Linked DNA regions of Macaca fascicularis. The protein of the gene in region 1 interacts with the protein of each later gene in a pairwise test. Links are inferred from orthologs where the notes say so. Each region holds a gene or a part of one and is shown in the gene's direction. Other genes may lie near its edges. The genes, in order: NMT2 and ACBD6.

Evidence for each region.
Region 2: the proteins of NMT2 (region 1) and ACBD6 interact in binary tests that used the Homo sapiens proteins (3 or more experiments, as listed by UniProt). The link is inferred for Macaca fascicularis from reciprocal best matches to the Homo sapiens genes NMT2 and ACBD6.

The regions. Positions count from the first base shown.
Region 1 is NC_088383.1:16,080,537-16,084,866, reverse strand, and holds the start of NMT2 (glycylpeptide N-tetradecanoyltransferase 2), read left to right. Parts: upstream 1-1,244; 5' UTR 1,245-1,321; coding exon of another isoform or gene 1,322-1,403; coding exon 1,404-1,431; intron 1,432-4,330.
Region 2 is NC_088375.1:37,897,491-37,901,303, reverse strand, and holds part of ACBD6 (acyl-CoA-binding domain-containing protein 6), read left to right. Parts: intron 1-1,837; coding exon 1,838-1,943; intron 1,944-3,813. UniProt on the Homo sapiens protein: Binds long-chain acyl-coenzyme A molecules with a strong preference for unsaturated C18:1-CoA, lower affinity for unsaturated C20:4-CoA, and very weak affinity for saturated C16:0-CoA. Does not bind fatty acids. Plays a role in protein N-myristoylation.

The DNA.
Region 1 (4,330 bases):
TTTTGATACTTCTAGCTCATTGCGTTTTAAAAACTTAGTCTCCCTTGGGGAAAAAAGCCATAGAATGCTCCTAGTATCTTCTGCAAATAAAGGACCTACACCAAAAAATTCAGGCTCTTTAAAGTCTCATATTCCTCACTGAGCGGGTTCTGACGACTCTCTTTGCAAAACCACCGCACAGACTTCTGGTGGCCTGGCAGCACCTTTGAACAAGATCATCTCAGCAAAGCAAAGGACAGGGCTGCTCTGTACAGAATGCAATAGCAAATAAGAAAGGCTGAACTTCACCGGCCTTCTATTTGGCAATACTACAGAGTGCCTCCCTTCCCTGTTCTGAGAGAAACAGAGGACGATTTCAGCACAGAAGGCCGTGCGCGTTCGCTTGGAAATCTAGGTCACAACCTTGACTTTGGGAAAACCAGGGTGGCCTACCTGAAACTGTCCAATCCCCCGGCATCGTGGACACGTCCCCATGTCCCTCAAGATGTCTGTTCTGGTCTGAGCCGTCCGTAGTGTCCAGGAAAAGCACGGGTAGCTCAAGAATTTCTCTGTCAAGAGTTTTAGTGCTGCAAGCCTGGTTGGGACAGGGCGGTGGGAGGGTTTGAAATACTGTTTTGACTTTGAATTTGATTTTATAATGTATTAGATGGATAGATGCGAAATGGATTGTTAACATGTATGTGGAGGGGCGGGAAGAGCTTCTGGAAAGCCTCAGCCCTGAGTGCCTACTCCTGAGTGGGAAAATTCCCTGCACGGGTTGGGAGCGCTCCCTAAGTCGTCCGGAAGTAAAATCGCATGGCCTGTGTTCCAAAAATGCCGCCACTCAGGATGTCAAGTCTGCAGGTTTTCAGCCTTGAGAGCCCAGCCCCAGGTAGAGGCACCGCGCAGGCCTGGATATACAGGACTCGCCCTGCGCAGGGCTGGCCACGGTGGGCAGGGTTGGAGCTGGCGGGGCGGGGCGGGGTAGGGCGGGGCCAGCTGGGAGGGGAGGGGCGGGGTTAGAGGGCGGGATTGAGGCCGGCCGGGCGGGGAGAGGCGGGGCTGGAGGGGAGGGGCCTCAGAGGTGGGCGGGGTTAGAGAGCTGGATTGAAGCCGGCAGGACGGGGAGAGGCGGGGCTTGAGGGGAGGGACGAAGAGGTGGGCGGGGTTCAAGAGCGGGATTGAAGCCCGTGGGGCAGGGCGGGGCCGGCGGGGCGGGGCGCAGCGCCAGGGCTACGACTCCAAGCAGTACGGCGGGCGGCACTAGAGGGAGCTGCGGCCGCGCCCGCCCCGCCGCGCGGGCCCGGCCCCGAGCGCCGCCTCCCCAGCCAGCGCCGCCGCGATGGCGGAGGACAGCGAGTCTGCGGCCAGCCAGCAGAGCCTGGAACTGGACGACCAGGACACGTGCGGGATAGACGGAGACAATGAGGAGGAGATGGAGCACGCCAAAGGGTAGGGGCGGCGCGCGGGCGCACCGGGAGCTACAGGGCGGGGACCGCGCGCGCCAGGGTCTCTCGCTCGGGGGCTGGCTCCCAGGAATGGGGGCTCTTCGGCCGCTCCGCCCCGCGATGGCTTCTCCGCGGCGCGGAGCCCGTGGTGAGGTCCGGGGCTCGCGGGAGAGGACAGTGCGCGGGGAGGCGAGGCCCGGGGTGGGCGGGGAGGCTGGGGCCCGGGCGGGGACCGGCGACGCTACTGTCACCTGCCGTGCGCCCCCGGCCGGCCTCGCCCATCCCCGCCGGCGGCCTGGCCCAGGAGGCGCGTGTTGCCCTCGCCCGCGGGTGGCTCCGGTGGGCTCCGAGGGAGAGGCGCGACGCCCTGCCCTTTGTGGCGGCCGTAGCCTGGGGTAGGAGGTCGCCCTCTTCTGCCCCCTGCCATCCTTGTTAAGTCCCTTCAGACCCCCTCTCCACGGCCGCCACCCAAAAAGAATGGGCAAAGACGTGGGTGGAGCGGCATGGAGGTGCCCCTGGTGGTGTCGGGGCTGCGGGCGGCGAACTGCGCAAAGTTCTGGCGCGGAGGGGGTCCCGGGCCCGGCCCCTGCTGGGGATACTGGGCTTTGCACCGCCTCGCGTGTCCCTACAGCTTTTCAGAGCAGGGCCGATCCCCTGAGCCGGGCTCTCGCTGACCTGGCCGCATCCCGTTTGCAAAGCTAGTATTTGATCTCCAAAACTCGATGCACCAAGCATTTTCACACTTGATCGGGTTTCTTAATCCTTTGCCTTTGCCCCCGAACCCTACAGACTTGATTTGCTCTTCTGTTGGAGAAAAGGATTGCTTCAGGTGAAGGCCGGTGTTGATGCTCTCTTTTTAGAGGCAGTGGGTCATTTTACATAAAAACTGGTGTCCTTTTAAAGTGCTGTTTGCATTACCCTTTTACCCTATTGGATTCAAACTATGCGCTGGCACAGAGCGGTTCTTGCTACACCCTTAGAAGTGAGATTTTTCGAACCATGGTGAGTGATGGAGAAGTGGGTCAGCTTAAAAAACATGATAGGGAGGCCTGAGTCACAGATGGTTTACTCAGTTCGTAGAGAGATTCTTGAAATGATTGATCATTGAAAGTGTAAATCATTTGCATTCTACTTGTTTACTTTAAGATTTATTAAAGAAAGGGACTTTTTACTGACCTCTAATTCATTATAAAATATTAACAAGAAATCAAGGAAAAGAAAAGCCGACTATGTGCATCTCCCATTTGCAGGTTGTTTTTATTTTTGCCGTGAATACTTCAGTGGCGGCTGCAAGTATCGAATGTTCGAGTCTAGAATATTTTTTTTTTTTAAAGAGAGGAAAGGAAATTGCGCAGAAATCTGAACCTGAACTCTGTTTATGCAGGGATACAAACGTACTTGTAATAGATAGCTAAATACAAATATGTTTTTGAAACGGTAGTTCTAGTGCCAGAAATGGGCCCAGGTGCAGATGCAAGCTGACGGATTAACTTAAGTACCTGTATTGTCTTTCTGGAGAGACCCTGGATTTTTATCTTCTCTGCTGTAATTCCTGTTTATTGTTCCTCCTTTGATTGATATTCTGGGTTGGGGGCTTGATTAGGACTTCTTTGCCTACACTGTTGAGAATGTCCCTGGTACAAAGAATTCCTCATCTGTGTGCCCATTGATCTGAGCCTGTCCCCTGACACCTTTCAAGCAGCTAAAGTTCCCAGAGTAGCACCCAGAGGCATCTCTGCTGCCTTCAGAAGTTTTCAGTTTTGTATATCAGCACATTCATTATATGTTAGAAAGTTTATCAAAATTTAGAGATGCCGCGTGTACTGAAATGTTTAAACCAAGAGCAGATACCATGTTAATAGCTTCTAGTGGGAAAAGATTAACATAATAGATGTATTGTACTCTATTTAAATGTAAGGAGATTAGGAAAACTCCAAATGACTGCTCTCCTTGGATTGCCTGTTTGGATTTGAATTTAGACAATGTGTGCCAAATTTGGGGGAGTAAATGTGTTTTATTTGGCTCATGTACTGACGATATCGCAGTGGAAACCTAGGTTTTCTTTAAGTAGCTCAAGTTTGTAAATGTTAAAATTTCAAAGACTCTTTTTCTATCCTTGGCCTCTTCATTCCCATCAGTTTAAATAAATAACAAATAATGAGCCTTTGGATGAATTAGTAAGAACATGTTTCACCTTTTAAAGGCAGTTTGTCAATTTGAGGCCACCAGGCAGCGGCCAGTGCAGAGCGGTAATTTACTGAATAGTACTCTTGTGGCCTGAAAGAATTCATTTACCCCACCACTCAGTATAATGTATTTACTAGTCGTCTTAGACATACTAAATTGAAACTAGAGCCTCAAATGAAAGGAAAATACCCGGCCGGGCGCGGTGGCTCAAGCCTGTAATCCCAGCACTTTGGGAGGCCGAGACGGGCGGATCACAAGGTCAGGAGATCGAGACCATCCTGGCTAACACGGTGAAACCCCGTCTCTACTAAAAACACAAAAAATTAGCCGGGCGAGGTGGCGGCGCCTGTGGTCCCAGCTACTCGGGAGGCTGAGGCAGGAGAATGGCGGGAACCCGGGAGGCGGAGCTTGCAGTGAGCTGAGATCTGGCCACTGCACTCCAGCCTGGGCGACAGAGCGAGACTCCGTCTCAAAAAAAAAAAAAAAAAAGAAAGGAAAATACCCAATTAGAGTCTTCTTGTGCTCCAGAATGTAAGTATGTAAATATATAAAACTGCATATGCTTTTATTTTATTTTCATGGAATTTTCTTCATGGACTAAAAAGGGTATTTCGTTTTATAAATAATGCTAAGGGTCCATGAATGAAGTATCAGATGTTTTATGTTTAATTAAAAGCAATGGTGTAACTGTTATAAAATACTTGTCTCACTGTCTT
Region 2 (3,813 bases), on another chromosome or scaffold:
ACTGCAACCCCCACGTCCTGGGTTCAAGTGATTCTCCTTCCTCAACCTCCTGAGTAGCTGGGATTACAGGCATGTGCCACCGTTCCCAGCTAATTTGTGTATTTTTATTAGAAACGGGGTTTCACCATGTTGGTCAGGCTAGTTTCAAACTCCTGACCTCATGATCCACCCGCCTCGGCCTCCCAAAGTGCGGACATGGGTTTTTTTTTGTTGTTTGTTTGTTTGTTTTGTTTGTTTTTTTGATTTTTTGAGATGATGTCTGGCTCTGTTGCCCAGGCTGGAGTGCAGTGATGGGATCTCAGCTCACTGCAAGCTCCGCCTCCCAGGTTCACGCCATTCTCCTGCCTCAGCCTCCTGAGACATGGTGTTTTTAATGGTGGTTAAATATGACTAAAGTGGTATTATTTGCAGCTCTACTTTTTAAAATCAGAATTTTCTTTTCTGGGGTTTGGCCTCACTTCTTATTTTCTTTACAGAATAAGATCAAAAAAGCATTTTCTCTTCCGTTTAACAGGGCCTCTTCAAGTGACCATATAGACCTATTAAACATGATTTCTTACTTAAAACCTACTTCATTTTCTCTAGCTTGAAGCAAGTTGTTTCTCCTTTCTTTTCTTGTAGTCCTTGTTAAGGATTCAGCTTTTATGTTAATCCTGTGTAGATTTGTGTCATCCCAACTATACTGTTTGTGTCTTAAAGGCAAACTTTCTTGCTTAGCCTTGTATCTGTTATCAACAAATTCTTGTCCAGTGCCTTACATGTAGTAGGTGCTCAATAAAATACTTCAGATGCTTAAAGAATGCTTAGATGGCTGATGCCAAAGTAGTGTCTTTTAAGAAAATTAGCTATGACTGTATATGGCACAAGATGTTTAGATTGGCTTTTAAGATATAAGAACTCCGATGACCAGGTGTTTTGCTTTCTGATGAATGGCTGCTATGGCATTGCAAGTCATAAAACACATTAGTTTGACTTTTGGAACGGAAAATGCATTCCTTTATACTTGTTCATAACATTCAGTCCACATATGGGGCAGTTTGATTGTTAATATTGTAAATTACTGATCTTTATGGGAGTCACTGATTTTTTTGAGAATCTGATTGAAACAGTTCTTCCCCCTGTACATACAACAGCCAGAAAAATGCACCTGCATTATAAAGATAATTCTGTACATTATTTAGAGAGCCCATAGATTTCATGTTAAGAACTTCTGCTTCAGATTTTGGAATAGACTGCAGCTGATTAGTCAAAAGGCAGCATAATATAATAGAAAAATGTACTATATACAAAATCAGTTGATCTAAGTGAATTCTAGCTCTTATTCTACCTTTGATAAATGTAGTACCATTTGGCAGGTCATTTAATGTCTCCTTTTTGCCTGTTTCTTCATTTGTAAAGTGAAGTTGTTGGATGAAAGATTAAGTGAATTAGCACATACAATATACTTAGAAGAGTGCTGGGTATGTAGTATGCTTCCCAGCTTTTCTTTCTAGTCTTTGATTCTACTATCTTATAAAGGATTTCTGAATTTTTTAATGCCGTCCTCTTTTTGTCTAATTGATTTTCTTTGCTTTAAGAAAATAACTTTCATGTATATTTTAAAAACTTGAGTAACAATTTATTCTCTTATCCTGTAAGGCAAGTGGGAAACTAAGAACTTTAGTCTTTTCAGGAGTTGGATGTATTACAGCTACTGAAAAACTATTACTGTTCATGTAAATTTTTTTTTAAACAGAGTCCATTAACATCTATGTCAGCAGCAAACAGATTGTGTTGAAAATATGTAACTTTTTTGTATTACCCAGTAAGAAAAAGACCTTTCTTTTTTTTATTCTAGGGAAGAAGACAAAAATATATTTGATTACTGCAGGGAAAACAACATTGACCATATAACCAAAGCCATCAAATCGAAAAATGTGGATGTGAATGTAAAAGATGAAGAGGTATGTAAAACATGCCCTGTTAATTATTTTCCTATGGTTGTTCTGCCCCAGTGCTTTTTCCTAAATGGTAGGCCAATGAACTACAACTCAAAGTACAGCATGGCTAAGAGTATATCAGAATATCTAAATGAGATGCTGTTACCTAGTTAAGATATGTTCTGTGATTGTGTCAAACATATTTTTATCTATGTTTTAGAAGTTACTACCTGAAATTTGTAGGAGTCTGATAGCTTCCATATGTTTATGCTAAAGAGAGAGATTATTAGCATAATAAGTGAAATCTACAGGTAATAGCAATATCTCATTTATAAATAGCTTTCTTCTGTTATTATACCTTGAACAGCTAGGTATATTGTTCTTTGCTCAATAAATGTATCTCTAGAAAACTGTGTCCGAATTTTGGTAAATCAATAATTTAAATGCTGGCCTACTAATTAAAGGAATCGTATAGTAAATTATTTTATAAAATATATTACTTCTTTTTTTTTAGAGAGAGATAGGGTCTCACTCTGTTGCCCAGGCTGGAGTGCATTGGTGCACTAATAGCTCACCGCATCCTCAAACTCATGGGCTTATGCAGTCCTCTTGCCTCAGCCTCCCAAGTAGCCGGGACTACAGGCATGTGTCATCACTCCTGGCTAATTTTTTAATTTTTTGTGGAGATGGGGTCTTGCTGTGTCGTCCGGGTTGGTGTTGTCCTCCTGATCTCAAATGATCCTCCTGCCTCAGCTTCCCAAAGTGTTAGGATTATAGGCATGAGCCACTGTGCCTTGCCTATTACTTCTTAATTTATTTGTGTTGTGAATAATACCATTCACAAACTGAGTTTTAACTGACCCTGCATTATAGTTGTTAACAAAGAAGCAACATTTACTAATTTACTTCTAATCATTTTCTCATTCTTTGGTGATGCTGTGAAAGATTACTGAAATGGCCAAAGGTAGTAATTGTTAGGAAGAAAGCATTGAGTGATCATAGATAATCTGTAGAATAGATAATAATTAACTTATGTGTAATTCAGAGCTGCATATATAAAAGGTTAGCCCTTAATATTGTCTCACCTTTCGGCAACATCTCTCCTGTGATAATATTGTCAGTGGCATCTGGAATTGAAAATGTAAGACTATGATACTGCACAAAGGGACTAGTAATACTATGTGGTTTTCATTAAGTAAACAAAATAATACCAGGTCTTCTGATTCTAACTGGGTTTGTGGTTTTTGTCTGTTTGTTTGTTTTTTGCCTTTCAGAATCAAAATACAGGCATACCTCTGAAATATTGCAGATTCAGTTCCAGACTACTGCAGTAAAGTGACTATTGCAATAAAGCAAGTCACATGAAATTTTTGGTTTCCCAGTGCATATAAAAGTTGTGTTTACTGGGTGGACACGGTGACTGATGCCTGTAATCCCAGCACTTTGGGAGGCTGAGGCGGGTGGACCACAAGGTCAGGAGCTTGAGACCAGCCTGGCCAACATAGTGAACCCCATCTCTACTAAAAATACAAAAAAAAATTAGCCAGGCATGGTGGCGGGTGCCTGTAATCCCAGCTACTTGGGAGGCTGCAGTAGGAGAAATGCTTGAACCTGGGAGGCAGAGGTTGCAGTGAGCCGAGATCGCACCATTGCACTCCAGGCTGGGTAACAGAGCAAGACTCCATCTTAAAAAACAAACAAACAAAAAAGTTGTGTTTACACTCTACAGTCATCTATTAAGTGTAGAGTAGCATTATATCTTTTAAAAAGTACATACTTGAATTTAAAATACTTTATTACTAAAAAAATTCTGACAATCATCTGGCTTGCCTTCAGCAAGTCATAATCTTCGTGGGGCAAAAGGTCTTGCCTCAGTGTTGATGGCTGCTGACTG